Callithrix jacchus: one gene and its partner. The protein of the gene in region 1 binds, or shares a complex with, the protein of each later gene. Links are inferred from orthologs where the notes say so. Each region holds a gene or a part of one and is shown in the gene's direction. Other genes may lie near its edges.

Region 1 (3,500 bases):
TTGGCCTTGGCACTGTTGACATCTTTGTTTTAGGGACTGTCCTGTGCATTGTAGGGTGTTGAAAAGAAAGCCTGGCTTCTACTCACTAGATTCAGTAACACTTACCCTCCAGTTGTGACAACTAAAAATGTCTCGATATTGCCAAATGTCTCTTCTCCCCATTGGAAGCCACTGACTTACTATATGACTATGAACCGGCCACTTCATTAATCTCTAAAATAGGATAGTAAGATTTATCCCACAAGGTTGTTGGATCTAGTGATGATAATGTAAGGAGCTGCCGGTTAGCAGACATAGTGGGTAAACAGGAAGTGTTGGTTTCCTTCCTCTCATATTCTGGAGGTCCCAAGAAGTGATCTGATGGATCATTGAGGGGGGAACCCAAGCTGTGTTCTCACCCCCACCCCAACTCCAGGTGGCTCTGGGCTTGGTCTGTGAAGCTGATTACCAGCCAGTGGCCCGTGCAGTACGAGAACGGGTTGCCGCCATCCAGCGAAAGCGTGAGAAGCTGCGTAAAGCTAGGGAACTGGAGACACTCCCACCGGAGCCAGGACCTCCACCAGCAACTGTGCCCATGGCTCCCCATCCCCACAGTGTCTTCCCTGCTGAGCCTGAGGAGCCAGAGGCAGACCAGCACCAGCCCTTCCTTTTCCGCCATGCCAGCTACTCATCTACCACCTGTAAGTCACTCCTGATCTTGAGACGTAGGTCCCAAAACACCTTGGCCTCTGCCCCCAACCCAGAAATTCACGCCCTGCAGCAGTCACTTACCCTGCCTTCCACCTGTAGCCATGAAGCTCCCTCCTGGAAGGAACTCTCCCACAGCTCCAGGCCCCCCTTGCAGGCCCCTTCTTCTCCCATTACCTTTTATTTCCGCTTTTTTTGATCCCCTCCCTCCCTCACCAGCGGATTGCGAGACTGATGGCTACCTCAGCTCCTCCGGCTTCCTGGATGCCTCAGACCCTGCCCTTCAGCCCCCTACGGGGGTGCCATCCAGCCCAGCTGAGTCCCATCTCTGCCTGCCCTCGGTGAGAGGGGGTCACATGGGGGGCTCCCAGCCATTCCAAGCCTATGACCTACTTCCCTCCTTGAGAAACCCAATCTCATGATCCAGCCTGCTGTCCCTAGGAATCCACCACTCCTGTCCTCCTCTTCCTTAATTCCATCTAATTCCCTAATATCTTCCCAGCATCCTTGGCAACATCTCCCTAGATCACAACAGTTATCTTCCTGACCTCATGAACCCTCATCCTGTTTCAGGCTTTTGCCCTATCCATTCCACGTTCTGGCCCTGGAAGTGACTTTTCCCCTGGGGACAGGTATGTTCTAGGGTAAATTGGGGTGCCAGGATGAGACACATGGGTCACTGGGGTCCCAGTGTCTTCTCTGACACTCATTCTATGTCCTTTCCCTTTTCCAGCTATGCCTCAGATGCAGCATCAGGACTTAGCGATGTGGGAGAAGGGATGGGACAAACGAGGAGACCCCCAGGGAGGAATCTCCGGCGCAGACCCCGATCCCGGCTGCGGGTCACTAGTGTAAGAAAGGGGCACGGGAGATGGAGAATAACCTACGGGGCCAGGAGGGAAGTATCAGCAGGATGTGGGGGAGGTCAACCATAGAAGGGGAGAAGCAGTTTGTGACTGGTACTCAAGAGGCAGCCAATCTAGTTTTTAATACCAGACTTTAGGGGTTGGGTCTACTTATCTCCAGGTCCAGTCTGGCTACTCTCACTTGGCTGGGGTAGGGTGGAGACACAGCATGATGACAGAGGGCTTGACCTCCTCCCCTCTGCTGACTTTGAATCTGAAGGTCTCAGACCAGAATGACAGAGTGGTTGAGTGCCAGCTACAGACCCACAACAGCAAGATGGTGACCTTCCGATTTGATCTGGATGGGGACAGCCCAGAAGAGATCGCAGCTGCCATGGTGAGGGGGAGAGAGATGAGGACAGTGTTTGGATCTGGAACAAGAGTCTCCCTCCTGATGTCTGCTGGGGCTGAAACCCACTGATCCGAGAGCAAGGGTTTTTTTTTTTTTTTTTTTTTTTGACATGGAGTCTCTGTGTCCCACAGGCTGGAGTGCAATAGTGTAATCTTGGCTCACTGCAATCTCTGCATCCTGGGTTCTAGCGATTCTCCTCCCTCAGCCTCCCGAATAGCTGGGATTACAGGTGCCCACCACCACATCCAGCTAATTTTTGTATTTTTCAGTAGAGACGAGGTTTCACTATGTTGGTCAGGCTGGAATTGAACTCCTGACCTCAGATGATCCACCCACCTCAGCCTCCCAAAGTGCTGGGATAACAGGAATGAGCCACCATGCCCAGTGACAGCAAGGGTTTTTAAAGCACTGGTTGACACTTAACACAGTGATACTGAGGACGTCTCAGCCCTTGTTTTTGGGAGATTTCTGTTTATCCAGTGAGGTTTGGCTTCTCAGCTGGAGCAATTTGAGATTCACATTGACCAGGTGCACACAAGTGCTATGTGTAAGTGCTTGGTAGACGTGCAATACTGTGGCTGTAGGGAAGGATGGGCTGGGCAGCAGGGGCAGTGGGCTTACCTAGGATCTTGGTGGATGGGCGAGAAAGGCCATGAAGGGTAGAAAGGCTGTAAAGGGCATCCCTATGCAGGGAAAACATAAACAAAGGCATTCCAAGTAGAGAATGACTTGGAATATGGGGCTGGGAGGAAACCACTATCATTGGAAGTAAAAATTCCTATAGGAGAACTGTGGGAAGTGAAGCTGGGTAGGTAGCATGGGCCCAGATTACAGGATAGACAGTGTTAAGTGTTAGGCCAAGCGGGCTGGGTCCAGTGGCTCACACCTGTAATCCCAGCACTCTGGGAGGATGAAGTAGGAGTTTAAGACCACCCTGGGAAACATAGTGAGACCCTATCTCTACAAAAAATTTTAAAAATTAGCCATGTGTGGTGGCACATGCCTGTAGCCCCAACTACTTGGGAGGCTGAGTTGGGAGGATCATTTGAGCCTGAGAGGTCAAGGCTGCAGTGAGCTGTGATCACACCACTGCACTCCAGCCTGGGAGACACAGTGAGACTTTCTATCAAAAAAAAAAGGCAGAGTGTAACATGGTGACAGTAGGCTTTGTGAAGACCATCTGCCATGGGATGTGGAAGGGGGTTAGAGGAAGGGAAAATAACTGGGAGCTAGGCCCAGGAAGCCACATGTGGACAAAGAAGAGGGTGGCTTATGGGAGGGAAGAGGAGAAAGGGTGAATCTGAGGGTTGTTTCAGGAAAATAAGTTACTCTGTAATCCAGTAGCTTATTGACGTAATACAGTAGTACCTAGTACACAGTAGATGCTCAATAAATATTTGCTGAGTTGATATGATAGGAAGTTGAGAAGGGATATCAAGGACAACTTGTAGGCTACCAAAGGAGAGAGGAAGTTAGAAATGAAAGTTTTGTTTTTTTTTTTTTTTTTTTTTGAGGCGGAGTTTTGCTCTTGTTACCCAGGCTGGAGTACAATGGCG
Region 2 (4,115 bases), on another chromosome or scaffold:
TCCCACCCTCGCGGCCCCAGCCAGCATCATCTGGAGAGCTTGTTAAAGCACAGGCTGCCGGGCCCCACCCCCAGAGTTTCTGGTTCAGTAGATCTAAAGTGGAACTGGAGAATTCATAGCTCTAACAAGTTCGCAGGTGCTACTGCTTCCAGCGGGCATACCTGGAGAACCACCAACTGCATTGTTCTCCCTCCCGTTCCTCAACAAGGCAGGCAGGATCTTGCTTAGCAGTCTCCACGCTGCTCTTCCCTTCGCCCTGGGCATTTTTGCATTATTCAAAGCCCACGTTATTCCATCTCTGTTTAACTCACACCTTTTGAGAGGCCTTCACTGACCACTCCTTCTAAAATCTCTTCCCCTCTCCTCATTCTCATGTTTCTTGTTGGCAAGCATCGCTTGTTTCTGTCATCCCGTCTAGATGGACAGCTCCACAGAGTCCTGGTTTTGCTGTCGCATCCCCAGCACTAAAACCTTGCCTAGCAGGTGCTCATTTCACTTGTTCAAGGAATGGATAGCATACTGGAGGGAGAGCCAGCTTCTTGCCTGGGACACTGGACAGGCAAATCATTTCTTCTCGCCTCAGTTCCACCATCTGTAAGGGCACCGGTTTGGTTATGCCTACCCTTCCCATCTCCCTGGGTATAGGCTCAAATGAAAAGAATAACGTGTACAGACGCCCGCGAAGCAGAGCAGTAGTGGATACCGAGCGTTATTACGCCGTGCGTTCGGCCGCCCTTTTTCTGCACGGAGAACCCCCTCCGCTCCCATTTTCCAGCGCCCCCGTCCCGGTGATCCACAGACCTGCTGTGGGCGGCCGCCGCCCGCGTCCCGGCCTGCTAGCCCGCGTCTGGGCACGCCCGCCCCGCTCCCGGCTGGCGCCCGCACGCCCGCCCGCCTCCAAAAGCAGAATCGGCAGCGGCAGCAGCAGGAGGAAGGGGAGGCGCCGAGGGAGGGGTCCTCGGCCGCCGCGGGAGGCCGCATAGCTGTCCCGTCACGGCGTCAGCGCCGGCCGCGGCCGAACCCGGAAGTTGCCGAGCCCGCGCGCCCGCCCGTCCCGCCGCCGCTGCCGCCGCCGCCGCCACCCGGCACTCGGGCGAGCGCGGGAGCCGCGCAGTAGACAGAGCGCGCCCGGCAGAGCGGGCCATGGCCGCGGGGACCGCCGCCGCAGGTGGTGGCGCGCGGTGAGGCGAGCGCGGCGCCCCCTCCGGGGCGGATGGAACGCGGCTTGGCGGGCGGGCAGTGCCGGCGTCCGCGGCTGGAATGGTGCTGGTGGCGGCGGTCGGTGCCTGCGTTCTGAAGCCAGAGAGGAGCCACAATGGAGACGCCGCCGCTGCCTCCCGCGTGAGTGAGCTGGCGGGCGGGCGGGCGGGCTGGCTGGCTGTGCCCCTGCGGATAAGCGCGCCGCTGCGGCGCGTGTCGCCGGCCGCGGGCGCAGCTTGGGGTACGGCCGCCCGGAGCCGCCGGGGCCGGCGGGAGGTGAGAGATGCGGGGCGTGACGAGGCGCGGTGCCGGCAGTCCTGAGCGGACGCGGACGGAAACTCAGCTTCGCCAGGCGGTGACTTAAAACGCTGCCCAGGATTTCTGGGGAAGGGTCTTCCCCATGCCAGGCGGATAGAAGATTCAGGGTGGGGCTGTGCATGGGGGACCCTGCCGGTCCTGTGTGTACCTCCCTGAAATGCATGGGCAGTTGGTGCCCAGCTTGCCCACCCCTTTCTAGGGGATCAAGCTAGGATGCACGGAGTCCGTTGAAAAAAGGAAACTGGAAAGTACCAGGCGCCGGCTGTCTAAATGAATTGATCTTAGGTTGTTTGGTTCCCCGAATTTCTAACAAAATTAATATCTGAGGAGCTTTTCCATCACTCTGAAATGAGCGGTGGCCGTTCAGGGCATGTGACCTCTTTTACCTGGCACGCAGAACGTTTTATCCAGAAATCAGAGCATCTTCTGTTTCCTTAGTACCTCAGGCAAATTAGTAGCCTATCGACCTGCCAGGCACAGGTGTCTTTTTTCTTTGGTACCCAAGTACATTCAAGATCACTAGCAACAGAATTATTTTCTAGAAACAATAGCTGAAACATGTAGAAGACGTTATTGCATTATTCAGAACAAGGTTTTTTTTTTTCTTTAATTTTAGTTTTTAGTTTTAAAAACATCTTGGTAAAAGTGGCCTGTAAATACCCAGGAGTTTTGAAAATTTCAATTTTGGTTCCCTCTTCTCTTAGGAAGGAATAAGAGTCCTTTGAATCTGACTTTTTAAACCGGAGACAAACCTAATCCTGAAAAATGGTGTACCTTTTCATGAGAGCTTATTCATGGAGGCTTGTCGTTCTCCGGTTAGATTTGGCAAGCTTCATTCACTCCATGGCAATTGTACCGCACCAGCCTCTTGTGGTTATTTGGCAGAATTCCAGCCAAAATAAGAATATTTGGCTTGGGTTGAATAATTTGTTGATGTTCAGCCCTTTTGGGAGAGCTAATGGGATTCTGGAATGACAATTTCTAAAGGTGTGTTTCAGAATGTTTAGCTTGAGTGGAACAGGTCATGGAAATGTAGGGGTAGATGATAAGACTCGTGGATTGGCCCTCTTCGGCTGACAGAAGCAAGGGCTTAGCCACCTCTCGATAGCTTTGACTTTGAGGGCTCTGAGATTTAGTCATGTTCTTCAGCAGGCTGGAAGGCACTTGAACTCCTAGGAAATATGATGGTGGATGGTTAACATCAGCAGGATGAACACATGGGGGTCTGCCCAGTCTCAGAAGCACTTGAGGCAGGATATGCTAGCTGTATTTAGACAACACATGGTATATAATATGTAACATGTAGGTATGTTATCTGTAGTAAACCTGCCTTCTATATATCAGTTCTTGCAGTTCCTTTTTACTTTTGGAACAGAGAACCAAAGGAAAGAACAAGGGGATCTTAGAATGCAGGTGAAAAGAAGGATGTGGAAAAGCAGGCAGGCTCTGGTGGAAGGGGATAGAGATACAGATTATTTAAATCGAAATAATAAGACATGAAATTGATGTATGCATGCAAACACTGATAAACTGACTCTAGGGTAGATCAGCTAATCGTAATTTTGATGACCAGCATCATTTTTTTGGTATTGAGATTCCATCAATAGTGCTGGAACAATGAGAGGCTGAGATATAATGGAAAACCTGTAATGCCAGCATGGATGAAGAATTGTTAAAACTCCTTTCAGTCATGGGTGGTTAAAGTTGGTGAGACTTTTCCACTGGTTCTATTTAATTATAAATACAAATGGGTTTTTATTTTCATTTGGTTCTATCCAGGATTGACGCTAATTCTAAAACTCATTATTTGCCTTTCTGTGGATCAGAATTCGTTTTTTTCCTTGCCACCCCTTGGCCTGTTTGCCTACACTCCCATTAACATCTCTCTACCATGGATCACGTGTGCTAGATTTGAGACATGCAGGCAGTGTCTTTAGGAAGGAACTTTACTGGGCCTCACTGCCAGAGCTGGCCTAGGACAGAGGCCAGTGGAAAACTGTTAGGAAGACTCAGCTTTTCATAGTTAGATTTTTAACCTGAGCTTTAAGGCAAAGAAAGATGTTTGACCTGGACTTAAAGTACCTTAGATGGTGTGGTTGGAAGCAGGGCCCCAGATTATGTTTGGGTTAAGTAAGTGTCTGTTTATTAATTCATTCAATCTGCAAATATTTGAATGCCTGTCTCTTCCTGACACTGTGTGTGGTGCTTTTGCTTATGCTTCTCTTTTAACATCAAGATTTACATTGCTCTCAGATCCCACCTCGTACTCCATTGGCCTGTTGGCACATTGTCTTGGAGGGATATCAGGCATCTGTACCCACCTTCCTGTTTCCTTCAGGATGGACTCCTTGGAATTAGCTTTTGATCTCTTGTGCTTTTTCTGTTCCTTGCCTCCAACTTCTTCTCATCCTTTTTAATTCTCATATAATTAAAAAGTGTCATTGGACTATATATTTCTGCTTATTGTTTTTTGCAACCTTGAGTCTATGTGACATTAAATTCTGTTGCATTTTGGGGTTTGGGTGATATTGAGACTGTGTTACATTTGCTTCTGCTCAAACCTTAAAGATGTGTAACTGAAAAATTAGATGTAGATT

Evidence for each region. Proteins that work in one complex are often made in the same cells at the same time.
Region 2: the proteins of WNK4 (region 1) and KLHL2 are in contact, whole or in part, in a crystal structure (PDB 4CHB), measured with the Homo sapiens proteins. The link is inferred for Callithrix jacchus from reciprocal best matches to the Homo sapiens genes WNK4 and KLHL2. Residues at the interface, in NP_115763.2 of Homo sapiens: Glu557, Pro558, Glu559, Glu560, Pro561, Glu562, Ala563, Asp564, Gln565; in NP_009177.3 of Homo sapiens: Arg345, Phe361, Gly363, Ser364, Leu365, Arg366, Thr392, Phe408, Gly410, Ser411, Thr412, Gly413, Ser438, Ser439, Tyr455, Ser487, His504, Arg534, Tyr583.

Annotation. Positions count from the first base shown.
Region 1 is NC_133506.1:121,104,227-121,107,726, reverse strand, and holds part of WNK4 (serine/threonine-protein kinase WNK4), read left to right. Parts: intron 1-415; coding exon 416-680; intron 681-906; coding exon 907-1,028; intron 1,029-1,260; coding exon 1,261-1,319; intron 1,320-1,420; coding exon 1,421-1,538; intron 1,539-1,812; coding exon 1,813-1,929; intron 1,930-3,500. UniProt on the Homo sapiens protein: Serine/threonine-protein kinase component of the WNK4-SPAK/OSR1 kinase cascade, which acts as a key regulator of ion transport in the distal nephron and blood pressure.
Region 2 is NC_133504.1:29,900,734-29,904,848, reverse strand, and holds the start of KLHL2 (kelch-like protein 2), read left to right. Parts: upstream 1-1,315; coding exon 1,316-1,341; coding exon of another isoform or gene 1,342-1,670; intron 1,671-4,115. Other genes in the region: uncharacterized protein LOC144581672, read right to left, coding at 837-1,670. UniProt on the Homo sapiens protein: Substrate-specific adapter of a BCR (BTB-CUL3-RBX1) E3 ubiquitin ligase complex that mediates the ubiquitination of target proteins, such as NPTXR, WNK1, WNK3 and WNK4, leading most often to their proteasomal degradation.